Linked DNA regions of Diceros bicornis minor. The main gene of each other region encodes a partner of the protein of the gene in region 3 in a complex. Links are inferred from orthologs where the notes say so. Each region holds a gene or a part of one and is shown on either strand. Other genes may lie near its edges.

Region 1 (7,184 bases), on a different chromosome or scaffold from region 3:
GTCACTTCTTCCCATATTTGTTGTTCAATCATAACATTTCCATGTTGTACTGTATAATTGCACATTGAATTATCTAATTATATACTTCCCCCCTCCCATGCCATTAGACCACGATATCTTTGAGATCATGAACTGTCTGTTATTCATCTACGTCCCCCGGCTTGTAACACATACTCAGAAGATCCAATACTCACCAGTTTAATTATGCTGCATTGCAGCGTAATAAACAAATTGTAAATAAATGAAGAGAGATGGATAGAGAAAGAAGTTACAGCTCCTCACAAGCATTCAGACCATAGCTGGACAAAAGCAACAAAAAGCAGACCCAGAACCGAAAAAGGTGCAGAATTTAGAGGACGGGGGGCCACACAGCCCCACGACCTCCAAGCTCCCGAGCCCCCACAAGCCAGTGACTAAAACTGGGATACTGAACCAAGAAAATAAGTGACGTCTGAAAACGTTAATCGTAAATAGTAAAAAACCATGCACAGACACAACTTCTGTAAAAGGGAAAATATGAGCACTCCTCAATCATTTTTTTTCATCATTTAGACTTTTTTAGTTTGCTTAAAACTGCTATAAATCAGTTTCATATTTCTCCTTTGTCCAACACTATTACTCTTCTAAAGCTTATCAAAATGGGAGCTAACAAATAAAACTATTGTTCTTGATTGCTAGGTCTGTATGGCATTTTACCTAAGACACTACAGCTTAGATGGAAAACTTTTAATGGGTTTTCCCCCCATTTCTGTCCGGGTTGCAGTTAAACCCTGACACATGAGGAATGACCATAAAACTGTCTTTGCTGAAAAACCTTCAAAGGCCATTTGATCCACCGTGCCGTCTCTGGAAACCCATCGCGGAAAACCACTCTGCTTTTCATCGAGGGGAGAACAGTGGCGCTGGCTCCTGGGTTGCCTGAGTCCCGGAAGGAAGGGGGTGCGGGGTGACTGTGGTTCACAAGGAAACGTTTCAGCGACAGTAATGAAGTATGCAACCTTCAATAACGGAACTCGACGGCCGGTCGGCTCCACACGCCCATCTCACATTATGAGATGTCCAAGGTTCGGCAGGGGAAAAGAGCAAATTCCCCCACTTCAAAATTGTGCGAAAGCAAGTCTCAATGAGCAACAAATGAAACCAAATGTTGTAAAGGAAATCCATCAGCAATAAAGAGAAGCTAATAAAAATGAGGGAGGGAGAGGTCAGAAAGGCGGAATTCATAAATAGCATCGAGAAAGGCCAATCCGAAAAGAACCTGGACACGATCCTTTATTGAACTCCTCTTAAGTCTGCTACGCGGAGAGGAAATGACTTGAAATCAAACACGTGCACTATTTGTGGCTATTCTGGAGTCCGTTTTCATGAGAGAAACACAGATTAAAGAAAGAAGAACGAAACCCACTTAGGTTGAACACATGCGCTGGATAGAAACTTAATCGCTCCCTGATCTCTAGCTGCACGAGCCAGTGTATCTTTGGAACTTAGGGTCAGCCCGGGACCAGTGAGGTCCGACCTCCTAGGACACGTTCTCTGGGGTGTTCTCACTTCTTAAGTCTGAGTGTGCAGACAGCCCCCCGGGGCTCTGGCAAAAGGCAGACTGATTCAGCAATGGGATGGGGTGACATACACATTTCCCAGCAGCTGCAGGTGTGTGACCAGCTTTCAGGGGCCTCGTGGGCTGCAGCCACAGAAGGCACCTTGGCTCAGGTGGACTCAAGAGGGAGCAGCCCTCCGTCCCCAACCATCCTGCGCCCTCCTCTCCTACCCTTCCTGGATAACACCCGGGGAAGCCCGCTCACCTTCCCTTTCCCCGGCCCTCACCTCGTGCACAGTCCTGCAGAATCTTCTTCACTTACACCCTCCCCACCCCGCCCTTCCACCCTGAGGCCCTCCAGCCACCCCTGGAAGATGGACGGCACCGGCAGAGCTCCCGTTCCTGCAATCAGCAGACTCCTGCTCCTGTCTGGGGGCGTGCCATGCACGTCCCAGGCCCCGCCAGCCTCACAGCAACGCTTTGTGTTCCCAGCGCCCGGCCGGCACAGACTGAAGGTGTGTTCTGTGTCCGTCCTGCAGTTTATTTCCGTCCCGTTGGCAACCGCACAACATCTACCTTTGGCCTCCCCGCTGTGCATGGGCGTATAAAGCTGTCTTGTGCAGGCGATCAAAAAACCCCTTTCCCCACTAAAACCACACGGATGAATGGAGCTGTGCCTGGCTGCTCATTCAAAGACCCCGACTGAAAAGCCCATTTGTTCTTTGACAAGACGTCTGTATGTGATAAACCGAGATCTGTATGAATATTTACTGCTCTCCAGCAAGAACAGCACCGCACACACAAGCATTTGCTTCCCAATTAATGGAAATAATTTTGCAGAATTCCTGCCTGACGGTGCTCTCACCACTGAGTATACACGGATTTTTATCTCCAGTCACGAAACACAAACTCAGCTTGAAATCACTGCATGCACAAAATAAAACCATAGTTTAAGCAAGTTACCTAGTAACTGAAAGTCTAAAACATAAAATAAAAAAAGTTATGTAGTGAGTCCAGCTATATTTATACTGCAGGCAAGTAGGAGAACCTTCCCTCATAAGACCTCGAAATTACCCCCAAACGGGAGCAAACACAACCGAAAATTTTTTTTATAAAATTATATTAAGAAAATGTTACCAAAAAAAAAAGGTCAAGATGTCAAGGCAAGACGTGCATGTGTGCAGTGTGGACGATTTATCCATCCTATTAAAAGTATACACTGAAACAAGCTAGCCATGGGGTCAAAGCTCCTTTAAGTAATTTCACCTCCACCAAAGTAGATTTATTATTTTTGCAATTACAAATGCAGTTCATTGTCATCCTAAAAGGCCAGCGGTTAAAGTAGTTGCACACTCCCAAGCCATCATTATTGGTTGATAAACAAAATTAATGTCTGCGGGGCCCTTGAGGTCCGAAGTCGCCTGTTTTTTAACTAAAAACTGCTTCCCCGGCTTAGCGCGCGCTCCCGACTTCCGTAGGGCATGCTCGCTCCCGCGCTCGGCGGGCACACACTGCACATGCCCGCCCGCTCCCGGTGGGCAGGCACTGCGCATGTCCCCTTGCCGTGCCCCTTCCACACCGCCGGGCCTCCGGCTCGCTCTCGCCAGACAAGCACCGCGCATGCTCCACCGACTGGTCTCCCGGACGCCGCTACCGCGGACACGCACTGCGCATGCTCGACCCACCAGCCAGCCGCCTCCTACCTCGGCGAGCACGCACCGCGCATGCTCGCACCTCTGCGGCCATAGAGTCGCCTCGCCGGTGTGGGGTGGGCTGCACCCCTAAAAAGCCTAAAAGCGGAATGTCTTCGAGTGGGGCAGGCGCCCTCTCCCGCCCCTGTCCGGACCCCAGCTCCTGAACACCCCCCGTCTCCACAAAGGCCCCCCCACCCCCCGGCGAGGCCACAGCAGCCCGCCGCCTCTCAAGGCAAGGAGGCGTGCGTGATGACGCCACGCGTCGCGGTGACGCGCGACGTACGCGACCTTCCTTGGGAGCGCGGCGGGCGCGCCCGTTTTGAAGCTGTCCTGAGCGGCGCCGGCCTGTCCGCCGTCCGGCCCGAGTGTCCGCGCAGCGCTTCAGGGAGGGCGCCGGCTTCCTGAGCCCGCCGGCCGGGCCGCCGCCTCCTCCCCGGACCCGGACCCGAACCCGAACCCGAACCCCGCCGGCCGGGCCGCCGCCTCCTCCCCGGACCCGAACCCGAACCCGAACCCCGCCGGCCGGGCCGCCGCCTCCTCCCCGGACCCGAACCCGAACCCGAACCCCGCCGGCCGGGCCGCCGCCTCCTCCCCGGACCCCAGATCCCAGACCTGCAACTCCGCCGGGCCGCCGCCTCCTCTCCGGACCCGAACCCGAACCCCACCGGCCGGGCCGCCGCCTCCAGCCCGGACCCCAGATCCCAGACCTGTATCTCCAACGGGCCGCCGTCTTCTCCCCGGACCTGAACCCCACCGGGCCGGGCCGCCGCCTCCAACCTGGACCTCAAGTCCCAGACCTGCACCCCTTCCCCTGACCCCATGCCCGCGCCCCGCCCCCTCCCGTGACCGCGCCCCGCCCCCTCCCGTGACCCCGGGCCCGCGCCCCGCCCCCTCCCGTGACCCCGGGCCCGCGCCCCGTGTCCTCCCCGGATCCCGGGCCCGCGCCCCGCCCCCGGGCTCGTTCCCCTCCGCGGCCGTGGTCTGCACCGCCGAGGTCCCTCCGGGCCGGACTTGGCCGCCGGCGTCGGGCGCGCGTGCCGCAGGAGAGCCCGCGGGGAGGAGGGCGAGCCTCGGAGATGCCGCCCGGCAAGGTGCTGCAGCCGGTGCTGAAGATGAAGGTGGACGAGCTGTTCCTGTGCTGGCTGAGCGAGTCCAGCACGCAGAGCATGCTCCGGGGCTGCCTGCAGAGCATCCAGACGCCCGCGGGCGCCGAGCGGGGCGCCGGGGACGCCGGCCAGCCCGGGCCCCCGTGGGCAGCCCCGGCCCCCGCGTCCGCCGCGCTGCCGCTGGGCGCCGCCTCGGGCCCCAGGGTCGCGCCGCACGCTCGCGGGGCCCGCAGGTCCGCTAGCCCGAGAGTGGTGAGTGCCCCTTCCTTCCGCTCGCACCTGCGACGGTGACTCGGGCCGCGTGCGGCGTGGGGCGCGCAGAGGACGGACGGCAGCCGTGACGGCGCGTTCACAGACAGTCTGGTGCCCCAGATTCTGCAAAATGCTGTCGTTGGCCCGGTCCCCCGTCGGTGGCAATTTGGAGTTTGTTTCAAATTTTCTAGGTCGGTGTTAGTTACCCGCTTAGCGATTTCCCCTACTCGGCTTGAACCGAGCGGTTTTGCCCCAGATTGGTCTCGTTTTATCCCTCATTTGTCTCCGATAATTACAGCTGGACAGCGGTGTGTTACAGAAAAGGTGCTTTCTGACGTGGAATACTGTGTCCGCGTAAAGTAAGGAAACGTGGCCTCCAGGTGGTTGGTTCATAGTGAATGTAGGAGAATCATAGAATTTGTTCTAAAGCCTGAAATAGTGGAACTTGTTGATAACATTTAAAGTTTTCCAGTTGGAACCAGTGTCCCATCAGCAGCACTAAGCACGTCGTGAAGTGAGACTTCACTATCTGTCAGTGCAACAGTTTTCCAACCAAAATGGACCAGCCACTAAGGGGACGGTGAGAGCCAGATGTCCAGCCAAAGAGAACACGTTTTGCTCTAAGTTATTGGTGGTTTTCTGACACGCTCCAAGGGATGTAGCACATTTTCAGGGAAGTAAGTCCCCAAGGAGAATGGGAAGTAGACCAGAGGCAGCTTCACAGACCACCTGGGTGAGACCCCCCACACGTGCCCAGAAAGACGCTGGTGTGGGCCTGCGGCAGCGCGTGGCCCCCAGCACCCCCCGCTTCCGTGCGCTTTCCCTTGTCTTGTCTGAGTCCTCATTTTACTGAGGCCACGGGATCTGTGAGGAGGGCTGGGCTGAGAGAGCTTCCTCCAGTGGTGGCAGTTCTCTCCCTGCCCCAGGAGGCATTCATATTGGCAGTGCCCACGTCTTACTTAGCGAGCTGCCCTCTGTGTCGTTAAATATGTCTCAGGGACAGAGCCCCACACTCCTCTAAGGTAAATTCTTGAATTCCGTGACACCGTGACTTTGTGTGAATCATCCAGGACTGGAAGAATATACAGGTCAGCGCTGTGCAAAGATGGCAACTTGGATGCACGTGAAAGGAATATACTTCTGCACAGTGATAAGCTGCAAACAAGTGAGAATTAAGTTCCCTAAGTGTTCAAAGCAGGGAGAGGTCGTTTCTGCTTGGAGAGAGGGAGTGACTTGTGGGGTTTGGGGAGTGCACTGAATTGGGGGGGGGGGGCAGGGGGCAAAGGGAGGATATTCCAGGAAGGTAGTTCAGAGTGTGAAGATCAGATGTTGAGTCCTGCTCAGACCAGAGCAGTCTGACAGCGGAAGGCAGGCTGCCAAGCCCGGACCGTGCCGTGATGGCCGGAATGGGAGGGGTACAGAATTCGGGGCTGAGGAGTCTGCGCTTGGTTCCACGGCTGGCTGCTCAGGCTTCTGAAGGGTGACGGATTCAGTGCATGGAGCCACTGAGATAGAGCAGCCTAAGACAGGAGTGAAGAGGCTTGGCCCCTGGCCTGGCCGGGGGTGCAGGGAGCAGAAGCTTGAGGATGACAGAGAGGCGGCGGGAATTGCTGACGGAGGCAGGGCGAATTTAAAGATCCCTCTGCTTTGCTGTGCACCACACCAGACAGAGTAAATCAGCACGAGGAACCAGTTTGGAGCGAGACCAGAATGATTTTCCCTTAAACGTCCCCAGAGGTTTCGATAAGCAGCGCTTGATCTCCTCTGGGACCTGAAGTTACCCTGAAACATGTCTGAACGTATTCAGAATTTGTGGACTGCTTTAGCTGAATAACCCAAAGGGACCTATCTGTCTATCGGGACAAAATGGGAAGAGCTCATTCCTGTACTCCCCCTAAATGCGGCGTGCGAGGCAGCGTTAACAAAACCTGATTCCCAACCACAGACCCTGGCAGGGGCGGGGCGATGCCCAGGGGCCCCGGGACGAGGTTTTCATAGGTAATAGACCTTTCCTCAAGTGCACAGACGCGTCCAAGACTGAGCGTGAGGCGCCTGGCCGTTCCTTGTCACCGTCGGCCCGTCTAGTTCCCCAGGTAATAGTAAGAGGAGGCACGCTCCCCGTGGAGATAGTGCACGGTGCGTCCCAGAACGACGCGTGATTCGGGCTGGGGTTGCTGTGTGGTGTTACCCGCCCCAGGATGTCACAGTGGGGACGTGGCATTCTGTGTTTGGCAAACATCCTATGTAAAGGGGCACTAGGAAGGTCCCCTTCCCATCCTTATGGAGGGACAATGGTGCTCGGGGGCAGAGAGTGCACACCCAGTGTGTCTGTGCCGATGGTGCCAACCAGGATGCTACTACCGGCAGAAACCTTAGCGTGCTTTTAGAGTAAGTCCTTGCGAAGGGAAAGGAGAGCTTAATGTGGATGAGCTGTTTCTTCACATGCCTAATAACCCAGGGACGACTCGGGAGGAGAAGGTCAAGGTTCAGGCCAGGGGCGCCTCGATTGACCCTGCACATTTCCTTCTCTTTGACCACATCCCAGGACTCAGCCCTGGGTTCCCTTGAGCTGGTGGGATGCGACTTTCATGTTTA
Region 2 (7,853 bases), on a different chromosome or scaffold from region 3:
CAGGAATGCTGGAAGTCTTAAGTGATAGAACAGGTAGCTCAGCTTGTACTTCACGTCTCTCCTCAGGGGGAGAAAAACACTGTGAATAAAGTAATTTTGTTTTTATTTCTGGAAAAATCATTTTTTCCATCAATCTTCATAATTCTCTAAAATAAACTGTTAAAAAGTTATAGGCCGGTCGACCACTTCACCCTGATTTGTGGAAATACTATACATTAATTTCAGGAACACATGGCTAACTCAAGTTTTCTTACTACTCAAAAGGTCTAAAAGTTGCTCCTAACTCTTTAACAAAACTGTAGGAGAACTTTACAAGCTCATGGTATATTTCTGCATCTCATCTGCAATATTTTTGAACAAAAGAATAGTAAAAGTAGTCTGGGCTCAGGAGTCACACTGCATGCCATCAAATTTATTTTTAGGATACTGTACAATTTTAACTGTGGAAAACTTTTGTGTTGCACAAAATGCTTAAGAACCACATCCACAAAGAAAATGGAAATAAGAAGTTAAGAATTTACCATTTCATTAAGACAGAGAAAGTGACAAATAAATATTCCTCTCTTCTTTGCTAATATTGAATGATAGCCCTCCCCAAATTAGGTTGGACAAAGTATTCACAACTTTGGGAAGGCATAAACTGAAAGGCAGAATTTGTAATTTAAAATATGTGATTCACATTCTAAGCCACCTTAATTAAGATTTAAAAATTCAAGAGATAGTGAACTCAGATAATTAAACAAAGCAGGGGGCAAAAAGAAATACTGAACAGCAAGCAATTCCTAAACCAATCAAATAAAGACAAATCAAATAAGGACCAGAAACCATATAAATCAAATAAAGTCAAGAGAAATGAATAAAGACCACAAACCATTTTCTCCTCGGCACACAGTGTTCCCCAGAATCACAAGCTTGATGAACTGGAGGCACTCACCCTGCTGACGCAGGCACGTACGCACGCAGGAGGGCGCACACAATGGAGAGAGAAGCATGGAGACCCTTAGAGACAAACTTTACATCTGTAACATTCTACCCTCCACATAATGGAAGAGAGAGCACTGCGGGAAATTTTTCGCACTTTCTTCCACATCAGACAGAGCAAAACTGTAGTTATTATTGCAAACTACTAATTCTCTTGATACAATCAAAGTTAGGACTGAATGAATGGAGTGTAGGGCAGGATGGATGAGGGAAAGAGGGAGGGAAGGATGGGGGGTGGCCTTAGAAGCAAGTTTGAAGCGTTTCGTAAAGCTTGAATGGATTAACCTTTTAAAAAGCCCTAATATTTCTCATTTCCTCTTTTCTTCCTCTCTTCTTTATTAAATACACACCGACTTCCTGGGACTCAACACAGACTTGCCCTACATTCAGCGAAAAGGCCTGGTGCTTAGTACACACGGGAATCGTAGGTTTGATATATGTCTGACACAAATGGTCCTTGTTTGGGAAGGTATTTTAAAAATCACTTTTTTTTGTGACCATGCATAAAATGTGACCAATTGCTAAAAAAGGATGAATTCCATGCATCAGTTAGTAAATTGAGGCCCCAATGCACAGCACTTTGATTTCTACTAGAAACATAAGCAGTCTATTTACTACTCTAAACATTTTTTTTCTGAACTTGGAAAAAGTTTGCTTTCACATTTTTCGAAGATAATGAGGGACGGAGGCTTTAGTGTTGCTAGCCTCTGACCTATTCATAAATGGGTTGTTTAGGCTATCTAGCAAAGGAAAAAAATAAAACGTGAATGCTTAAAAGTAGTGTAGACTTGGATAAAATCTAGTAGATAGCTTGAAATGCACGGATTTAAAAACATAGCATAAAAAATGTATGGACATAGCTTATTTCTTCTTTAATAAAATGAAAAATAATGGGGGGCTGGGTAGATCTCGAGTAAGAAGTTGGGTCCCATGCTGTAGTCCCTTGTCCAGGACAAAAAGCTTTCTTTAAGCACACTCAACAGTCATCTTGTGGGAAAGGCAGCGGGAGGGGACTGGGGAGTCATCATCTCGGCGACTCGGACCTAGGACCCTGCATTTCTCACGCCATACTATAGGCTGGGCCATTGGGGGAGCGAGATACAACTTTGCCCTTCAGAAGCAGCACCAAAAGGGGAAAAGAAGTCACCTCGCTCTTCGTTTTACGCACACAGGAAGAGCCCAATTCAATGCCGCCGCCACCGACACCCCCTTGTCTTGCTCCGCCCCAACTTGTGTGTATGGTAGGACAGCACGACTTGCGTTTTACCCCACAAATTCCGAGACGCCTCCATCTCTCCAAAATTAAGTCCTCCCACCTCCAATCCCCAACCGTATCACGCTCAGCAGGCGCAGGTGTCTCGCTCTGGCCTATTTTTATAAGCCCCCCCCCCCCCACATCCCCACCTCATTGCGCGCCCCAGTCCCTCCCTGCCTTCCTCGCGCAGTGCACTACCTAGCCTAAACTCCAAGAAAAACTTAGAGCCCTTTTCCTGGGACACCTGGCCAGAGCACCCGGCCCTGCCTTGAGGGGAGCCCTGGGGCCGCCTCTCGTCGCCGGTGCCCAGCGCGGAGCGCGCACCGGGCTCCCGGGCAGTCACGTGGGCGGCGGGGGAGGCCTGGGCTTCCTCACCTGCATCCCGGGCACTTGGACAGCCACCGGCGAGTGGGCCATGAAGGCGACTGCTGCTCCACACTGCTTCTTCGGCGGTGGCGCCTTGGGCTCGGACTGGCTCCTCCTCCAGGGGTAGCTCCGCGGCCCTCCCAGGCTTTTCGACCGGGGCCTGGAAGGACACACAGAAGTGGGGTTACTGGGCTGGTAGCGCGTAGCCCAGACTGGGAGGTGGGCAGCTCGCGGCGCGGTTCTCTGGGACTCAGTCTACCTTTCTGGCGCCCGCCCGGCGCTGCTGCCGCCGCCGCCGCTGCTGCTCCTCCTCCTGAATGCGGGGCGCTGTGTGTGGCGGTGGCTGGGACCTGGGCTCGAGTGATGCCGCTTGTCTGCGCCTCGCCGCTTTAGGAAGAGGAGGTGGAGGCGCCCCAGCAACCCGCCCGCTCGCCTGGCCCGGGAGGCGGTTGGGGGCGGTTCCGCCGTTGGCCCTGCCCCCGCCCCGCAGCCGGGCGGTGTCAGGAGAGCTAAGGCTCCACGCAGTGAAGGGGTTTGGCTGGAGTTGCTGGAGCCTGCGAAGGGGGACACTCTCCCGGCACACGGAGAGGAGACCCTGAGGACTGCGGGACCTGGAACGCGGCTCGGCCTGGAGAGAGAATGAAAGAGTTTGGTGACCCTGGGGGTATGAGAGCGTCCCAGACGCGGCCACGTTGCAGGCAGGCGTGCGAGGCTGGGGCACACGCAGCCTCGGAGGAGACGTCTTGAACTGAAACTTGGGGAGTGTTGGAAATCTTTCCTGGCTCCCTGATCTGGTCGAGGGTGGGGGCACAGAGAGCCACCGAGTCAGTGGACCCCTGCTCATTCCCGCGGTCCGGTCTCCTCAGCCTGCGGCTGCGCCACTGGGCGGATCCGTAGCCACTCTCCTGTTTTCCGGATTCTTTGCCCCCAGACGTGCTTCAGGTGACTTAAACCTGAGGCTACGGCTACCTCTGGGGCTATCAGTTGGTGGGGGACGGCCAGACTGGGGCTTCTCTTCACCACAAGTTCTGCACGTGTAAGAGAGAGGGAAATTGGAAAACAGATGGTATATCGGCAGAAAAATTAATGAGGATAATAGAGGCATGGGAAATGAGATCGGATCATTAGCAGTCCATATTATTGAACTCAGCATACACAGCAGTGGTTTCGGCAACTCCCAGCCTCCACTCCATTTTAAGTTCCACTCCAGGAGGGAGACAAGCTCATTTGAGAGCACCCTAATAATAACAACGGTAACAACGATAATAATAGTAATTACGGGAATCGCATTATGAAGGTACCTTTGGGAACCTGCAAGGGGTTAATTACGTTTTTAAAATGTAATATCCAAGTGCCAGTTTAAAATGAGGATGAAATTCCCTACCTTGCAGGTTGCTGTAGGTCTGTACCCAACACAGTGTTGGGGCTCTAGTAGATGCTCAATAAATATTTCTCTTATTCCTTTTGAATCTTTCTCAAAAGATAGCATATTACTGTTATCAATATCGTTATTATTAATGGATGCCATTTCCTTTGCCCCAGGGATTGCTAAGTGCTATATGTATGTTATCTTATTGAATCTTTACGAGGGCCCTCTGAGGTCATATTGCTTTTCTCTCATTTTACACAGGAAGAAAATATCACACAATTAAGAAGTGGTAGAGCTGGGAATTCAAACCCAGGTCTTATTTCACTTAGCATAATGCCCTCAAGGTCCATCCATGCTGTCACAAATGGCAGAATTTCCTTTTTTATGGCTGAATAATATTCCATTGTATGTATATACACCACATTTTCATTATCCATTCAGATGATAAAGGATATTATTGCATTTTCCTTATTCCCGATTCCCCAAGTCCAGGCCCTCACTACTTCTAACCTGGTGATAGGCCTCAACCCAGTCTCTATTTTCCACCAGCCCAGCTCACACTTAACAATGCCAGCCTGACCAGAAACCTGCAGTGCCACGCAACTTTAATGTCCATAGTGCAGATTTTGATTTAGCCTTCCTCATTGCTCCAAGCCCTCCTTCAAACTTCTCCTCTTGCACCCACATTGTAGTTTTTTCTTATTTCGTGCATTTCATTTGTTTATTCTGCCCAACAAGATTATTGGGTGCTTGAGGCCAGAGATCCAGCTTTTCTTACATAAGAATTATTCAGGTAGGATGTCAGCTCTCTGAGGGCAAGATTTTTGTCTGTTTTGTTCACTGCTGTATCCTCAGAACCTAGAACAATGTGTGGTACATAATAATCCCTCACTAGCTATTTGTTGAGTGAATGAATGAAGGGATTTCCTTTGAATTCTTCACTGAGGTTAGTATAGTGCTAGCCACACTCTGGGTACACTGTATGTTTTATTGATGCCTGGTTAAACTCCTAGGCACTGCTTTTGCTGAATCTTTAAATTGTTAACTTTATAATATGTTACACCTTTCACTTTTTTTGTCTTCTAAATTCTTTCCAGTTACTTTGATTTCACAACCACCTAAGAGCAAGTTGTGTAATTTTAATAAATAAGTAAATTAAGCATATCTTTGAAGTCACTTTCCCTGGCATCATTCTGGGCCAGAGTTATGAAAGAACGTGGAAGACTGAATGCTAAATTTTGAGACCTGAACTATTGAGACATTTCCTTAAAAATACTGCTTTAAGATCTTAGTAAACTTTTTGACCTTGTTTAGGCCTACTGTTATTAAATAAACTATCTGGTGGTGTTATTATTGATAGAGATCACTTGAGTTTTTACATGGAGTTCCTTGTGGTTTGCGTATGCTTTTTCATATATATATATTTTTCAATTTTAATAAAATGATAAGAAATTCAGATGTGCTTTGGTACTCCCCCTCAACAAGGACACTTGAATATTTTACTTCAAAATGTCAGGCCAGAGTCTAATAATATATTACAACATATTCCCACAGCTTGATGGAAAAAGTTCCTCGAGGGGAGACACCACATCTTCCACTCTTTGGCAGCCCCATAGAATGTAACATAGTGCCTCACATAGGATTTGGTACCTGCTTGATTGATGTGACCTGAGTGGTGATGAATACTTAATAACCATATAGATAAAGTAAGATTGTATACAGATTAAGCGAAGTCAGTGAATTCCAAGTTAGACAGTGTCCTTGATCCCCACCAAACTTAATAATTTAAATTTACAATCTGTGGTTTCAGTTTCCTACATTTGTCATACCCTCAATATTAAATATTTACCTTTATCCGTGTTTATAAATATTTACTGAATGGCCTGGTTCAGAGCTAAAGTGTAAGTAGGCAGAAATGGCTAAATTTTAATGTAGGCAAAAGTGACATAATGTATTAGGGCCATGGTTCTCAACCAGGGTCATTTTTGACTCCTGGAGACATTTTTGGTTGTCACAAATGGGGAGGAGAGGGTGCTACTGGTAATGGGTAGAAGCCAGGGATGCTGCTAACCATACTCCAATGCACAAGACAGCCCTCACAACGAGGGATTACCCAGCCCAAAATGTCAAGGGTGCCAAAGTTTGAGAAACCATGCTCTATACTCTTTGCAATAGAGGTTACTAACCAAAAAACAAACTTGGGAATTACTGTTCCCTGAGGATTTCAGTTCCATGTGATGGCTAGGGCCAAAAAAAAAAAAAACACCAAAAAACCTCACAAGACATTGGGCCACAGCACGGGGGTACTGGAAACAAAACAGTATTTTTATATTACCTTGTATTAAACCATAGATCATCTGCCTCGAAAGAGTGAATACTACCTAATGAAAAATAATATCGATCATAAAATAACTTTAAGAAAAATTTAATGATTTGTCTAAAAAATAATTTAATCATGTAGCATGTTCTAATGTACCAGGCAATACCTAGGAGCCTTCAAATATGTTACTTCATTGAGGTAACTTTGACCTCTTACCCCACTTTACAAAATTTAAAGGTAGGGTTTAACATTTTGGACTTTCACGTTTTGAGCCTAATAACTACATTGAAATGTATAAAGTGTAAAAATGTATGAAGTGTAAGGGCAAATGGATACAATTATCTGAATTTCTTTCAATTCTCTGAATATTTGAAACCAAAGGAAGTTATCTGGGTAATTCTAGAAGCTCACCATCCAGTGATAGGAATATTTTGATTCAAGCTACCAGACTCTGTACTGATATTTGGAAGTACAACATTCAAGAGTCTTTTGTATATACGTATATATATATAAAAGCATATGTGATACCTCAAATCTCTTCTTTACTCTCTTGGTTTCTCTCTTGGAAACCATGATATAATAGTTCTTGCAGATGTTGTATCCTTGCTATTGTTCCAGCAAAGCATCCCAAGGAAAAACCTATGGAATCAATTCTCGGTCAGGGAGCATTAAATCTGTATAATTGCTTAATTCTCCTGAATAACCTTGCACCTTTTGGGGCTTGCACAGTACTCTACCATAGTATCATTTATAACAAAAACTAGTATCTAAGACTCGTCGCAGCTGAATTTTCTTACTAACTTTACTTCCTGACACTACTGAGAGGAATAGAGCAACAGAGGAGGTGGGTCGAAGCAGATGCCGCTTAAGTGGTTTCCTGCTTATAACATTTCTTTACATATACCCTTACTCACTTTGAAATATTTGCGTTTTGGTACCAAAAGAAGCGAGCTCATTACTTCTTGCCTTCACCAATTGGTTACAGAACTGAGAGGGGTAAATGTGACCCAGGCAATCTGATTCACACATAGAGGTAGGAGTCAAAAGTTGGCATGTTAAGATAGATCTTCCTGGTTCCAGTTTTGCTGCCTGCCTGAACTCGCACAGAATTGCACGTTTGATCTTTAGTTGCCTTGAACCCAAGGTGAAGGCCTTCAGAAGCCTGCGTGCATTCGCTCACAGTCTACTCAATGGTGACAGAACCATGGCATGCTGCACCAGTCATCCTATAATGACAGTTTTGTGTTGCCAATAGGGGTACCTGAAGAGACTGGGGAGTTTCTTAGGAGAGATTCTTTGGGAGACTGGGCTCTTTGTAATGAAGTCAGGTAACTTCTCTGTGCTCTCCAGTGTGTAGTTTTTAGTCACAGGAGAACCCTTCATGTGTTACCATGAAATGATGCTAAACAACCAATTCGGGTGATACTTTTTCCCTCTGAATTAACTTTTTAAAATGTATTGAATTGACCATTTGTTCTTTAACTTGTAGGCTTCTCAAGAAAACAGTTCTAGTCAAAGGTGGCAGTTAAAAACAGGAAAAAAAACTGGCAGTTGAGACCAAA
Region 3 (7,520 bases):
CTTAGCACTGTCTATCCTCCTCTACATTGTACTTGTTTGTTCCTTGTCTGCCTCCACAACAAAGGGAGCTCCATCAGGGCAGATTCTTGCCTGTTTTGTTCACTGCTGTTGCCCCACTACCCACATCAATCCCCAGCACACACCTGGCACTCCTTAAATATTTGTTGAATGAGGAGTTTCCCTTCAGACTTCAATGCAATAAAAGTAACAAAAGAATAAACAAAAAGAAACATTAAACCAATTGAAGATGTAAAAGAAATTTTTTTAAAAGGGCACTTCACCACCACCATATCACTCAAACTCCTACCACTTTCTCCCTCGATCTCTACCTTCCAGCCACAAGGACTGTGGTAAGCAGAATAATGGCCTTCCAAAGATGTCCACACCCTAATCCCTAGAACTTGAGTATGATACCTTACAAGCAAAAGAGACTTGGCAAATGTGACCAAGGTAAGGACCTTGAGATGGGGAGATTATCCTGAGTTACCCAGTCGGACTCAATCTCATGTCTCAAAATTAGAGACCCTTTCCTGGCTAGTCAAAGGGAGATGTGACTCCACAAGAACAGTCACAGAGATGCAACAATGCTGGCTTTAAGGATGGAGGAATGGGCCACAAGCCAAGAAATATGGGTGGCCTCTAGAAGCTGGAAAAGGCAAGGAAATGGATTCTCCCCTGGAGCCTGGAGAAAGAACGCAACCCTACTGACACCGTGATTTTAGCCCAGTGTGACCCAGGTCAGACTTATGACCTCCAGAGCTGTAAGACAATAAATTGCTGTTCTTTTAAGCCACTAAATTTGCCTCGAGAGTTTCCCATCCCATACGATGGTTTCTCCCAATCCCACTTCTATGGACATTTTGGGCAGATATTTCTTTGCTGTGGGGCTGTCCTGTACCCCATGTCCTGTATAGGAGGTTTAGCAGCATCCCTGACTTCTATCCACCAGATAGAGTACTTCCCCAGTTGTGACAACCAAAAATGTCTCCAGACATTACCAAATGTCCCGCGGTGGGTAAAATCACCCTGGTTGAGAACTACTGCCACTACCTGCCTGCTCTCTCTACCTGGAAGACTCTCCCCCACCTTCTTCCCAAGGCTGGATCCTTCTTCTGGTCTCATCTTGAACTCTGCCTCCTCGAGAAGCCTTCCTTAACTACCCTACTTAAAACAGATCTTCCTCACCCCACTTTGTGCTTGCTGTGTACTCCACCCAGAGAGCCTCATGGCTCCTTCCCTTGCCTCCTTCGGGTCTTGGTTCAAACATCACCTTTGCAGCAAGGCCTTCCTTAACTCCTCTTTAAAACTGCATCCCCCACCACTTTTCATTTTCCTCCTTAGCCCTTATCCGCAACATAGCATACATTTTACTTACTGTCTGTTTCCCCTCACTACAACGTACACTCCACGAGGCCAGGAGCTTTTGTCAATCTTCTTATATACCTGTGTCTACAACAGTGCCCTACGCAGAGCAGAGGCCCAATAAATATTTACTGATTCACTGTCACAACATGCTATGGTTTTCTTCCCACCACATCTCACATGTGTTATTAATGTATTCAGCTCTGTTCCACACGTCTCTTGTATAACAACTGGTGTCACCACTACATCCTCAGCACCATACCTGATATGTGGCAGGTGTTTACTGAACAAATGAATTCCTACAACAGCCCTTATGAACTAGATAATGACCTCCATTTGAGAAAAGAGAAAACCAAAGCTTAGAGAGATTAACTTGCCCATGTCAATCAGCAAGGAGTGGAAGAGCCAGAAGTACAACAGCAGCCTGTCTGACTACAGAACCAAAGTGATATACCCGGAACCTCAGAGGCTGGGCCCAGAGTAACCCACTCAATTTTATCAATAAGGAAATTGAGGCCCAAAGAGAGGATGAGACCTCTTCAACCAACACTCAATAATTATAGCTAACCTTTACTGGGTCCTCACAACAGGCTAGACACCGTTCTATTTTACCTGCATGTATTATTAACTCGTTCAGTCTCTCACAACCACCCAATGAGGTTAGGACTATGATTAGCCCACATTTTATGGAAAACAGAGGGCCAGAGCGATGAAGTAACTTGCATAAGGTCACACGGCGGGGGTGGGAGGTGCAGATGGGATGGGCAAACCGTGGAGTCCTCACTTTTCTCAAATCCTCGCCAGCCAGGCTCAGGGCCCTGAGCCACCCTATTCGGCTCACCAGAAATGTGTTAGCCCATTTAGCAAAGTGCCCACCTCCCAGTCAATGGGACGATCCCAAAAGGGGAGCGGGTTTCTACCTCGTAATTGACTCCTAAATTTGGCGAGCCGCCCCCCGCTCCTTCGGGGATATACACCAAAATTGGAGGGAGGGAAGGAATTGGAAAGGCAGCCTCCATCTCTCAGTTCCCCCATTTAGGGAGTTTACCCCACAGCGCTAAGGCCCAGCCGCCAAAACCCAGAAAGGCGAAAATCTACCCGGGTCCAGACCAAGCAGGCGACCCCTCCCCCATTCGGAGCAAGTCACGCTCCCTCTCCATCCCCAAGGGGCCATTCAGGGACCGCCGCCAATCACCGAGCCCTTCCCTGTCCCCGACCAACCAGGCAAACCCCCTCCCTGGCCGCGGCCTCCCAGGCCCGGGGCCGCCGCGTGCACTCGGCAGGCCCGGGACCCTCCAGACTCGCCTCGCTCCCGCCCTCCGCTGGGCCAACACCCAATCCCGGGCGCTGTTGCATCGAGTCCTGGGACCCGGAGAGATGAGAGCTGCACGCTGATTGGCTGCGCTCTCTCCCCGCCACGCCCAGAGAACGCTGAGCCTTCTCCGCGAGAGCCCCCGTGCCTCCATGTCCCCCTTCCCGTCTTCCTCAAGCCCCCCGTGGCCTCCGGACCTGGACATCCTCGTTGCGGAGCTCGTCTATGAGCACTGCGATGGGGTAGAGCGAGTCATCGCCGTCGGCCGCCGCCATCTTGGCTCCGTCCGTTCCTGTCAGACTGCGGCTACCGCCGTGCTGAAATCCGGATAGGGAGGGGCAGAGCTGGGAGGAGGAAAGGCGGGCGTGGGGGCGCCCGAGCCACTTTACAGGGGCGGCCCCACGGTCATTGGCAGCGCTGCGCCAGAGAAGCCCGCTTTTCTTTGGTCCGGACAAATCAAGTCCCGCCCACTGCCCATTTGCCATTGGTGGAAGGGACGAGAAGGCTTGCCGGAGCCAAGGAGTGGGGGAGAAGGAAACGGAAGTACGCGGTATCTTAGCGACCAAGATCGTAGCCGCCTACGTTGTCGCTAGCAACGGCCAAGACGAGCTGTTGTTTCTAGCCAATGAGGGGCAGGATTGGGAGGAGGCGAAGCCTGCCCGTCTGCGACTCCTGGAGAAAGTTTCTGCGCATGCGTCGGTAGGACTGCATGGCATCAGGAGGTGACCCGGACCGTCTGAAGGTTTTAGCTGGCAGGCGGACGCCCGGCGCCTTTGTGCGGGAGGGGCAGGAGGGAGTGAGGCTTTGATTTATGCCTTATGCCGAGGTCCAGAGAAGGCTGGCGAGTTGCTTTATTATCTGGATTAAACCCAAGTCCCTCGGACTAGTATTCAAGGCCTTTGTGGATCTGATTCCTAAACTCTATCTAGATACATCTCCCATCTCTCCTTTTTACACGTCAGCAGTCCTGGAAAATTAGCCCCCTGAGTTCGTCGTGATGCCAACAAGCCTTTGCCCAAAACATACCTTCTACTTGGAGAGCAGTTTCTATTCAATTGTCTCATCTCTAGATAAATGTCTCCCCTTCCCTGCCTTTCTTCAGGCTTGGCCCTCAAGCCCCTAGAGCCTCACAAAAAAAAAAAAAAAAAAAAAAAAAAAAAAAAGGAGCCACATAACCTGTTTCTCTCTCAAAATTCCCATCCCCGAGGCTGAGGCTGTGACTCTTGTGTTGATGTCTGTCTCCTCCCACAGAATGGGACAGGATTGGTACTGATTAGTGTCTGCTCCTAGCCTCACTCATCACAGCCCCCCTACCCGCAATCTTAGGACCACCCTAAATGAGGGAGTTTGGGCGCGGTGATGGGAAAGCCTGGGGTGCTTCTTCACCCATTATTGTGCCCCTTGAAGGGCAAGGCTGAGCGAGGACTCCTGGACAGGTCTGAATAGCCCAAGCATCTTTTCCAAAGACTTCTACCCACTCCAATTAGGAAACTACTCCCATAAAAAGTAAGGGGTGGTGGTGTTTCATAGTTCAATCCTTGCTGTCCATATTCCCAGGATCCTTCCCTACCTCACCAGCTCACTGAGACTATGGGTCTAGTTAGCTAAGGGTGCACTTTAAACATCTTGAAATTTTCTTTGTCAATTACACCTCAATCAAGCTGGGGCAAAATAAAAAGTCACAAGTGTGCCATGCAGAGGTAGCCTCTGCATCAGACAGCAACTACATAATCAGCAACTTGATTCTTGTCAGTCTTTTCAAACAACAGGCCTTTACCATAGACATCTAAATGAATCACCCAGACAATTATTCCAGCACTGCCATTTGTTTCCACAGTTCACAGCCCAAAAGAGGGGTGTCCTTATTCTGGCAGTCCATAGTTTTCCAAGTGGCACACTAAACAGCTAGACCACTGGCAGCAGTCCAGGTGTCTCAGATCTGACCAATGAACAGAACAATCACATCTAATTTTGGTTCTGCAGAGCTGGCACTAAGGCTAAACAGCCACACTGGCCCAGGGGACACCATTAGGATTTAGCTTACCTAAACCATCAGTGAATCATTTGGGGGAATCTTGAGGTCGAGGGTTCCTAGTGCGTGGCTTTGGCTACAGTGTAGAACTTAAAATTTCCTCCAAAGGGATAAGTACCACTTATTCTTGTAAAGCTGAGATGTCACTGAGGCCAGTCTGCCTTCATTCTTGAATATACACTTTCCATGAGACACAGGACTTTTGGGACCCTTCCTACTTGTTAATAGTGAAGTCCATATTGACTCATTCCAAAATTGAAATATCATGCTTGTAAAAAGGAGATAGCAGACCCAAAGTGGAGTCACTTGTGCTAAATCCCACATCAGCAAACCAAGACTTAATACCCAACCTAATTGCAGTTTAAACCTCTGTTGGAATGTAACCTTTGACCAGTCAACCTGGAATTACCTGGTCAGCACAAGTGCGGTAATCTACCTGAAAGTCCCCTTCCATTCCCTTCAAAATGGTGACCTTGCCTGAAACCATGCATTCTTTGCTAATAATTTCCCTTTTTCCACCCCCTCTCTGCCTTTAAAAACCTTTCCTTTTCTGTAGCCCTTTGGAGCTCCTCTCTACTTGCTAGGTAGTGTGCTGCCTAATTCACAAAGCCAATTTAATCTTTAAATTTACTCAGTTGAATTTTTGTTATTTAACAGATTTAGTGGCAGTGGCAGGACTGAAGGAGACTTCTGACAGCTTTGGGGACGAGAGACACAGGTGTGGTACCCATGAAGTCTGTTGAGTTCTGTGTCTTTCTTACCAATTTTGAGGGAGTGGGTAAGTTCCTCTCAGTTCTGAGCTCTGCTCTCTTTGCATTGAGCTCCTGATCTAATTGGCTTTCCCCATTTGATTGGACTCCCTCCCCAAATTCTCTCCCACTAGCCCCCCCCATTCCACATGGGGAACTGCTGGTGGTTATCCAACTAAGTCTGGAGTTAGGCTGGGTCCAATTTAAGCTGGACTGGGTCCAGCCTGAGGCATCAGGTGAATACAATTTTGTTTTAAGTAAAAGCTAGTGGCTAATGGGAATCAGAAGTAAAAAAAACAAAAACAAAAACAAATCCACAAACATTGCTGGGCATGGGTCGAGCATGAAACTGGGGACCAGCTTGCTTTAACTATACTCAGTTAGTTGTCTGGTTGCAAAAGTAGTTAGATAATGAATTACTAAAACCCACACTATAGACAACATCTCTGATGCCTGGGTCACCATGGTAACATGTGCTTGAGTTTTTCAGGAACTGACAGTCAACTCCTCATCCAGTTCAGGCTGGTTAAGACCACCGACACATCAACTGGGCCTGCATGGATGACCCATAGGTGACGCTTTGATGTCAAGGAGCTGAAAACTCCACCCTCAGATCATGGTGATGCTGCCATTTTGTGAACATGCATCCTATGAAGAGTCATGAAGTTTGATTGCAGATCAAACACAGATCATCAATTGCCTCACTTCTCCTTACCTCCAATCATCTATTCCCACTTCAGACCACTCTGCCCCTTTATCTCATAAATATCCCTAATCCCATTTTTCAGAGGTGGATTTGAGATTGGTTCTCCCATCTCCTTGCTTGGCTGCCTTGTTAAACCCTTTCTCTTTGCAAACTCATCATCTGGGTGATTAGCATAATGGTGTGGTGGGAAAAATGAACTTGGTTTGGTAACAAGCATTTAAAGGCTGTTAAGGGGGCTGGCCTCGTGGCTTAGCGGTTAAGTGCGCGCACTCCACTACTGGCGGCCCTGGTTCGGATCTCGGGCGCGCACCCACGCACCGCTTGTCCGGCCGTGCTGAGGCGGCGTCCTACATACAGCAGCTAGCAGGATGTGCAACTACGACATACAGCTATCTACTGGGGCTTTGGGGAGAAAAAGGGAAAAAAAAGGAGGAGGATTGGCAATAGATGTTAGCTTAGCGCCAGGCTTCCTCAGCAAAAAGAGGAGGATTGGCATGGATGTTAGCTCAGGGCTGATCTTCCTCAAAAAAAATGAATAAATCAATAAAATGAAAAAAAAATAAAGGCTGTTAGGGCACTGTATACCTCAAGAATACTCCCATGTTAGGATAAGTTGGTTATGAAATGGGTTAAATTGACACTAGGTCACCCACCAACCTCAAGAAAATTTCCATGCAACAAAGCACAATGTAAAACTACACACAATTCCCAACACCCAGGCACATCCCTCTTAGGTATTAGTTTGGCTCCAAGAAACCCAAAGGCTTAACTAAAAAGAAATGGGATCTTTAAGCTCCAAAGAGTCAAGTGTGCCACCTTCCAACACACCTGCTTATTTCATGTCTAAGAATTACAGTCCTGGACTGTAGATATCTAGCCAAATGGCAAAATCTTACTAAAAACAACCTAGAGTTACAATGGTCATTATGGGAAACGTTTCAATTAGACAAGATTGTTTATTTAAGAAGTTCACTGGAAAGCAAGAGTTCCTAAATTAAACAAAATGGAATACCTATTTTAATTGGTATGCAGAAGCTTCCAAAAGGCTGCAAGATTCCAAAATAGCTTCATTAAATGACTCATTACAAAAGGCTAAGGGAAAAGTAAAGACACAAAGGGCACCTAAAACAAAAGACTAGAGCACTGACGTGACTCCTACTGTTCCCCTCGTCCTTCACCTGAGCACTCATGGTTACTGATTCTCTGTCTGAACCGCCTTTCCACTCTGAAAAGACTTAAATAATTACCTTTTAAAATAAAACTACCTGAGGTTTCAGACGAATCTTTTCAGATATCTTTCACCCATCGTTCAAAGACCAAACTAAGGGCCATAGTTAAAAAATTCCCTAAACCCAGGGA
Region 4 (7,703 bases), about 6.4 Mb from region 3:
TTTCTCACATCAGAATTATCCCAACTCTTAATGTTGGCCACTAATTAATTTTTTTTAATGGAACGGGTCAAATTCATAGCAACAGAAAGTAGAAAGGTGGTTGCCAGGGCTGTGGGGAGAGAGAAATGGGGAGTTTAACAGTTACAGAGTTCCAGTTTCGCAAGATGAAAAAGTTCTGGAGATTGGTTGCACAATAACGTGAATATACTTAACGCTACTGAACTATATACTTAAAAACTGTTAGGATGATAAATTTTATTATTGTGTATTTTAGCACAATTAAAAAAAATTTTTTTTAAGTGGAGTGGCTGAATCAAGAGAGGCTGCCCGCCGTACGACACGCCCCTATTCATTGGCCACACTCCTAAGCAACCCCCAGGTGGCGCTGTCTCCCTGTCCCCATCAGGACGGGAAGATTTGGCTGGTCTCCAGCACGGGAAGTGTAATTAACTCTCTCTGGGTTCTGAGCAGATACTCAAAAAGTTTCCCCACGAGGGATTCTCATAGGTTTCTATCCCGCCGGGGAGGGGAGCATCAGAGCCCCAGCTAAACTTCCTACCTCCTAAATACTTCTGACCCCTCCTCCCCATTCCCACAGCTCCCCTCCCTCAGCCTGGGTCCACCCACAGCCCCACTCAGCCTCCTCCTGGTCTCCTGACCAAGTCCCCTCCTCATGGCAGCCAGAGGAGTCTTCACAAAGCACAAATCTGACCTCTCCCCCCTGCTCAGAACCTGCCATGGCTCCCCAGTGCCCTGGGGAGAAACTTTAAGTATCTTACAACATCCCACAAGGCCTTGTGTGACCTGGCCCTGACCCGCCCATCATCCCAGCCCCATCTCCCGCCATGGCTCCTCAAACTCTATGCCTAAGCCACCTCGGACTTCTCCTCCAACACGTCTTATTTCTAAGTCTTTGTACATTTTGTTCCTTCTGCCTAGCAGAGTCTCCTCTTGAACATCCCGTCTCCCCATTCCTCTTTTCTCCTGGAAAGCTCCTACTCATGCTTCAGGCTTCAGCTCAGATGGCCCCTCCTCCAGGAAGTCCTCCCTGAACCCCTGGCTGGGTCAGAAGTCCCCTCTGGGCTCTCGCAGCCCCTGGGGTCCCCCCGTTCCGGGCCTGCCTATTCTGGTTCAGCACCATCTGGGGATGGGTCTGTCTGCTCCACTAGACTGTGAGACCTGGGAGGGTACAGCCAGGGCCATTCGATCACCGCTGTGTTCCTAGCACACGGCTGGGCACTGAAAATGCACTTGGCAAAAAACTGATGGCGAGGGTCAGGGTTTCTGTGTGTCTGTAAAGCCCACTCAGGTCCCTGGAGCCACACTCCGCACTGTGGCCATGGGCCTGGGGCCCTGCCCTGGCCTTCCTGCCTCCTCTCTCTCCCACCCTCTTCACCCATCCCAGTCCCACATGCCCTTCTCTGCCCCAGCTCGGCTGGTACTTAAGAACCTGAGTTGTAGGGGCCGGCCCCGTGGCTTAGCGGTTAAGTGCGCGCGCTCCGCTGCTGGCGGCCCGGGTTCGGATCCCGGGCGCGCACCGATGCACCGCTTCTCCGGCCATGCTGTGGCGGCGTCCCATATAAAGTGGAGGAAGATGGGCATGGATGTTAGCCCAGGGCCAGTCTTCCTCAGCAAAAAGAGGAGGATTGGCAGATGTTAGCTCAGGGCTGATGTTACACACACACACACAAAAGAATCTGAGTTGCACCTTGAGAGCGACTTCTTAATCCTCAGAACCTTGGAATTGCCTTCTGGCCCTTAGACTGATCCCTCCTTCCTTCAGTCCTTCAATGTCTATTTGTGGAGCTCCTACAACACGCCAGCACTGTTCTAGGCCCTGGGGACACAGCGGTGGACACACAACACACAGAGACAGACAACACCCCTGACCTCACGGAACTCACATTATTACGGGGGGAGGGGCCTTTGGAACCACAGAGTCTTCGAGGTCTTAAAAATCTCAGAATCTTAGAGCTTAGGTACACAGAAGCACAGAAGAGAGCCTTAGATAGTTTTAGAATTTTCTAAAGATTCTAAAGTGACCATCTTCTTGCTCTACTCTCATCCCCTATAATCTGTTCCCCACTCAGCACCAGAGGGATCTGGTTAAAACTCGAATTAGATCTTGTTCTGCATCTGCTCAAATCCTTTTGTGGCTCACAACTCACTCCGAGGAAAACCCAAAGTCTTCACGGTGGCCCATAAAGCCCCGCATGATCCCCCGTCTTCTCTCACTCGTTCACTCAGCTCCAGCCACACACACCGGCCACCAAACGCATCATTTGTGTGGAATGAAGGAGGGACTCCCGTTGCTCAGATGGGGAACCTGTGGCTCAGAGGCAGAAAGGAGGCAGGTGGCAGAAGCCGGGTCTCCACTTCCAGGCCCTGGCTCTTGCTGTGCTCTGTCTGGCTGACTCCGGGCCAGGAGGTGCCCAGCAGGACAAAGGACAGAAACCAGGTCCTTGGAGAGCAGCGGGTATGAGAGCCAGATGAGGAGGGGAGCGGACCAGAGAAGAGAGAGCAAGGAATCATCTAGTACCCCGACAAGGTCCGTCTCAGCTTCCCCAACTGTAAGGGCTCAAAACCTCTTCACTGGGGCAAAGTGGATGAAACGATGATTTTGAAGGTCCGAACGTTCGACATCTTTCTGAATCATGATAGGATGATAACAATATCAACAATGCTAGCCACTCATGACGTGCCAGACTCAGTTCTAAGCACTTTACACTATTAACTTGTTGCATCTTCATGTTACGATCACATTTAAAGATGAGGAAACTGAGGCACAGAGAGGTGAAGTCACTCGCTCAGGGTCACACAGCTGGGAAGAAGACCCAAGAAGCTGCTTCCAAAGTGGTGCTTTCAACCAATAAACTGCTGTCTCTGTTGGGTCCACTCAGACAGTCCAATTCTCGGTCCATCTTCAGTGAGCTTTCCCCCGCCCTAACCGGACAGGGGCTTTCAAAGCTGAAGATGGCACATTAAATAATTCATTCAACTCATTCACTCAACAAACAGATGTTTATTGAGTGCCCTCTGAGCCGGACCCTGTGATGAAGGAGGCAGTCATGGGGCAGGCCCTCCAGGGGTAGGAAGACAGACAGAACCACACAAACAACTTACAGATAGGGCAGGAAACCAGCAGGGGGCGTGACAGAGAAAAGGTGGTAAGTTAAGGGCAGTTAAGCTATGTCTCTCCACTCCCCCCAAAACAATCTAAGTGGATCCAGATTCACTTCAGGCCTGGGTTCACCTGGCCTGAGCCTCAGTTATTGCATCTGTAGAATGGGTATGTGATGGGCAGAGAAAATAAGCGACATGTGGGAAAGCCTTTGGGGACAAGGAAAGGGCAGTTTCCATGTGACTGCTGGTGACACTGGGGGACTTCTTACCTCCTAGGTTGCAGGCTGGGGGAGCTCCAGGCAGGTGGTTCCAGCCCAGCTCAGCTGCACTGCTGAGGGAAGGAGAACCAGAAAACCTCAAATCAGCCAATTTTGCACAATAGAGCACAATTTCATCTTATCTACAAAAGTGGCAGTGAGAAGGTCAGGGAATCATTTCTTTTGAAGTCGCACAAGCTTGGGCACCACCTGGAGCATCTTAGGAGTGGGAGGGAAGGATGTTAGTTATCATAGCAACCTCTAAGCATCCCTCTCATGAATGTGTCCAGAAAGGTAGGGCTGGAAGTGACAGAAGGTGTTACCATGACAACTCCTCCCCTAGACACACTCCATGCTGAGAGACAATCATAAAACATCCCGTACCTTAGTGGGCCTAGTTCCAAGGGTCACAGGAAGGGGGACTGCCCCCGTTACCATAGTAACCAGGGCTTGGCCTTGCCTGCTTCTCACGTCTCTGGGGATGGGCCAGGCTCTGTAACCATAGCAACTACTGCTCAGCAGAGCATCTTCTCTAAATAAAAACACCTGTTGGGTTTGGTCCATGGACCTCCCACGATGGGGAAGGGGGGAGATGGTTACCATGGTAATGCCAACTGAGTAGCTGGGGGGAGGGGTTAGGAAAGAAGTGTTTCCCTCAGCCATCAGTGTCCTTGGGGCTGGGGCCCTTTTTACCTGAGTGCTAGGTGAGGTTGTCATAGTAACCAATGAGGGTAGGGGAAGAAGGACCACAAGGGACTTAGGTTACCTTAGCAACCTCCTCCTGGTGCAGGTACAGGAAAGGTTTGGGACTCCATAACCACAAAGGTGGAGGGGAAGGGAGGGGAGGCTGGGGTGTTCCGAGCTGGGGAAAGGTTACCATGACAACCGCCCCTGGCCAGGAATGAGAGAGGATGGTGGTCGCCCTTTCTCTCAAAGAGTGACAGACATTGACTGTCGATGAGAGTGGGATTTGGGTCTGGAGAGGGTTTGAATCTTTCTTTGGGGTGAAGAGGGAGAAGGGGGGCACATAGCGACCCCTCCCCTAGTCCCGCTCTTCCCAGGGGCGACCCCCGCGCGGCGCCTGGGTCGCGTTTGCCCCCCTCGGGGCGCGCGCCCCCTTCCCGCCCCCCGCGCGCGCACGCGCGCCGTCGGGGTCGACCCGGGTGGGCGAGGCGCGCGCCGGGCCTCGTTCCCGTCTCCGCCCCCACCCCCCCAGCCCCGGCGAGCGCGCGCGGAGGGCCGGGGGGCGGGGGGGGGGGGGAGGTTGGCGCGGCCGCGCAGGCGCGCGAGGCACGGCGGGCGCGCGGGCCGGCCCCGGGGCCTCCATGATGGAGGAGCGAGCGGCCGCCGCGGTCGCCGCCGCCGCCTCCTCCTGCCGCCCGCTCGGCTCCGCCGCAGGCCCCGGCCCGACGGGCGCGGCCCCGGCCCCTGCCCCGTCCCCCGGGCCCGGCCCGGCCGCTAAGGGAGGCGGCGGCGGAGGCAGCCCCGGGCCCACGGCGGGGCCGGAGCCCCTGAGCCTGCCCGGGATCCTGCACTTTATCCAGCACGAGTGGGCGCGCTTCGAAGCGGAGAAGGCCCGCTGGGAGGCCGAGCGCGCCGAGCTGCAGGTGAGCGCCGCCCCGGGACCCCCGGCCCCCCGCCCGGCCCGGCCCGGCCCGGCCCGGCCTCACCCGCCGCCGCCGCCGCCGCCATCTTGGAGCAATGGCCGCCGGGACGGCCGGGGGGGCGGGGGGCCGCGGCGGCCCGAGAGGAGTGAGGGGCCGGCCCAGGGGGGTCCCGGGGGCCCCGGGCGGCTCGCGGCCGAGGGGACCCCGGGGCGGGAGGGGCCGGCCGGGTCCGGCGAGAGAAGGCCGGGGGACCGGAGCCGGTTGGAGTGGGAGTGGGCTGGCCGGTCGGGGGGTGCCGGGGCGGGGTCCCCCCAGGGCAGCCCCAGAGAACTCAGCCCAGAGTGATGGAGGAGTTGGGGGCTGATGGAGGAGTTAGGGAGCGAAAGCTCAGAGGGTGCGGGGTTCTCCCAGCCCCGGCCCACCAGGTGCGCTTGGAGGTGGAGCCTGATGGGCTCCAGGTGGGAGAGACGGGGCGTCGGGGACCCGCCGGGTCCGGGGTGGGGGAACCGGCCTGAGTCGGGAGAGGAAGTCGGGGAGCCTGGGAGGGGGTGTGTTTCTGAGCGTCTGGAGACGGGAACTGAAAGACGGCTGTGGGAGGACTCGGGAGGAGCAGAGGCTCTCGAGGAGTCCCGGGATGGAGGTGTGTGCCTTCCTCTCCGAGGAGGGAGCTTTGGGGAGCCCTGGCATGTGTGCGTACCGAGGGCAGGGAAGGGTCCCTGCGGTGGAAGCACGGACGGGGCCAGGACTTGCCCTGGGAGCCTGTGTGGGAGAGCTTGAGAGCCGAAACTCCAGTTTGGGGGTGTGGAAGAGTGGGGGCTGCAGCCCCGAGATGGAGGAGTGTGTAGATGTCAGGTGGGGCTCTGAACTGGAGTGAGAGGGGTCAGGCTTGTCCACCGTGGGATGGGGACACTGAGGAGGAATCCGGGGGCCCCTGGAGGATGGCAGGGGGAGCGTGTTGCAGAGCAGGAAGGCAGCGTGAGGAAGCATGTCAGAACGACCTTGGGGGGCGGGGGGGGTGGTGGTGGGGGGGGTGGGAAGGACGTGTTTGTGGAAGTTTCCGGGAAAGGACCTCATGATTTGTGGAGTAGCTTGGGAGAGGGATGTGCGCTGGGATGATGTTTGGAAGAGCCTGAAGAGCTGGGCTGGGTTTTGTGACCTTGAGAAGTGTGGGTCCCTTTGCAGAGAGTGTCCCAAAGAGCCTGGACATCAGCGTTCTGAGAGTTTGAAGGGGTCCAGGGACGGGCTGCCAGGAGTCGGAGCGTTCCTGGGCTGGTGTGTTATTAGCAGAAGTCAGCACTTGCTTCTAGCAGCCCATCTTTCCCTTTCTGATTTGAGGTTTCCTATCTGGTTGAGTTGGGGACTCAAATAAATAACTGATTAGAATTTTGTGAATAGGATGAATAAAGACAGCATTCCACAGTTCTCCCAGCCCCACTAAGGATCTTAGCCGTCTGGCCAGCTGAGGGTTGGGGTGGGAGAGGAATCCTTATGTAAGTGCTCCTCGCCTTTGCATCCCGCTCTACTTCCGGAGCTCTTTCCCAGGGTACAGCTCATTAGATCTTCTCAATACCCCTTTATGTGGGCAGCACGAGTGCCATTGCCCTCTCAGCAAAAATGCCAGCAGCTGCTGTTTATTGAGCTCATGTTATGTGCCAGGGCCTGGACTGAGTTTTTTAGATACATGGTATCATTTAATCCTTGGAACATTCTGGAAAGGTGAGTGATATTACCGCCCCCCCCCCCCCCGGCCCACATTTTAAAAAAATAATCGGAAGAAGAGATGGAGGCTTTGAGAGGGTCAGTGATTTGCCTAGGATCACAGCCCATGGGTGGCAGGGCTAGTCTGAGGGCTTTCAAGCTCATGCTCTATAGCTCTCTGCCGCCCAGTTCAGATGAGCAAACTGCTCCCAGGAAGCTCGGCAGCCTCCCCAGGGTCATCCACGCAGTCGTAGCAGACCCGGGAGTGAACCCGAGGCTCTGGGACTTCACGCCGGTGCACCCTACAGCACCCACCACACCACCTTCTCATCTTTGAGACTGATGAGAGAAAAGGTGTGTGTTATTCCCTCCCTTAGTGGCCCTTCTGGGAGTCTGAGTGGAACTCGTGGATGGCACCCAGAAGGCTCTTCCTTTTCTAGGCTCCACATCATCACTGTCTCTGTACTTTTGTTTTCTTTTGTTCTGTGACATTAGTGAACATTCAGAGGTCTCAGAAATGTGTGTGTATGTAAGTATACATATATGTGTGTGTGTGTCTGTGTGTAAAAGGAAGTCCCCCTCCGTCCCTTTCTTCCTCTTCTCTCCAGCTCTCCTCTCCAACTTCATTGCTATAAAAGTATAAAAGTAGTGCAGCTTTGTTGTGTAACGTATGAGATCATATTATATGTATCGTTTTGTGACTTTTTCACATACTTGTGGGTCTTGGTGTCCTTTTCACGTCAGCACAGAGAGCTCTTCCTCTTTTTTTTTTTGGTGAGGAAGATTGTTGCTGGGCTAACATCCGTGCCCATCTTGCTCTATTTTGTATGTGGGACGCCACCACAGCATGGCTTGATGAACGGTGTGTAGGTCTGCCCCCGGGATCCGAACCCACGAACCTGGTCTGCAGAAGCGGAGTGGGCGAACTTAACCACTACGCCACAGGGCTGGCCCCTCTCTCTCATTTTTGATGACTGTGTTCCACTGGATGTTTGTACCATAGCTCATTTAGTTGGAC

What was found.
Region 1: the proteins of PPP2R1A (region 3) and PPP2R3B are in contact, whole or in part, in a crystal structure (PDB 4I5N), measured with the Homo sapiens proteins. The link is inferred for Diceros bicornis minor from reciprocal best matches to the Homo sapiens genes PPP2R1A and PPP2R3B. Residues at the interface, in NP_055040.2 of Homo sapiens: Leu10, Ile13, Ala14, Ile17, Ala41, Leu42, Arg46, Ser49, Glu50, Leu51, Pro53, Phe54, Asp57, Ile59, Asp61, Glu62, Asp63, Glu64, Glu100, Glu101, Thr102, Arg105, Asp139, Trp140, Phe141, Asp177, Thr178, Pro179, Met180, Arg183; in NP_037371.2 of Homo sapiens: Ser122, Ser124, Ile125, Pro126, Thr127, Phe128, Tyr129, Arg275, Trp277, Ser278, Ala284, Glu285, Arg288, Arg354, Ser357, Gly358, Ala359, Val360, Thr361, Arg362, Gly363, Arg364, Gln367, Lys368, Glu394, Arg398, Asp401, Leu402, Asp403, Gly404.
Region 2: PPP2R1A (region 3) and STK26 share a complex: the UniProt entries of both Homo sapiens proteins name them as parts of the core of STRIPAK complex. The link is inferred for Diceros bicornis minor from reciprocal best matches to the Homo sapiens genes PPP2R1A and STK26.
Region 4: PPP2R1A (region 3) and STRN4 share a complex: the UniProt entries of both Homo sapiens proteins name them as parts of the core of STRIPAK complex. The link is inferred for Diceros bicornis minor from reciprocal best matches to the Homo sapiens genes PPP2R1A and STRN4.

The regions. Positions count from the first base shown.
Region 1 is NC_080781.1:204,425-211,608, reverse strand, and holds the start of PPP2R3B (serine/threonine-protein phosphatase 2A regulatory subunit B'' subunit beta), read left to right. Parts: upstream 1-4,181; 5' UTR 4,182-4,307; coding exon 4,308-4,589; intron 4,590-7,184. UniProt on the Homo sapiens protein: The B regulatory subunit might modulate substrate selectivity and catalytic activity, and might also direct the localization of the catalytic enzyme to a particular subcellular compartment.
Region 2 is NC_080781.1:120,366,059-120,373,911, reverse strand, and holds the start of STK26 (serine/threonine-protein kinase 26), read right to left. Parts: upstream 3,001-7,853; 5' UTR 2,862-3,000; intron 2,763-2,861; 5' UTR 2,654-2,762; coding exon 2,612-2,653; intron 1-2,611. UniProt on the Homo sapiens protein: Serine/threonine-protein kinase that acts as a mediator of cell growth. Modulates apoptosis. In association with STK24 negatively regulates Golgi reorientation in polarized cell migration upon RHO activation.
Region 3 is NC_080773.1:28,670,524-28,678,043, reverse strand, and holds the start of PPP2R1A (serine/threonine-protein phosphatase 2A 65 kDa regulatory subunit A alpha isoform), read right to left. Parts: upstream 3,011-7,520; 5' UTR 2,950-3,010; coding exon 2,872-2,949; intron 1-2,871. UniProt on the Homo sapiens protein: The PR65 subunit of protein phosphatase 2A serves as a scaffolding molecule to coordinate the assembly of the catalytic subunit and a variable regulatory B subunit.
Region 4 is NC_080773.1:22,277,188-22,284,890, reverse strand, and holds the start of STRN4 (striatin-4), read left to right. Parts: upstream 1-4,690; 5' UTR 4,691-4,705; coding exon 4,706-4,987; intron 4,988-7,703. UniProt on the Homo sapiens protein: Calmodulin-binding scaffolding protein which is the center of the striatin-interacting phosphatase and kinase (STRIPAK) complexes.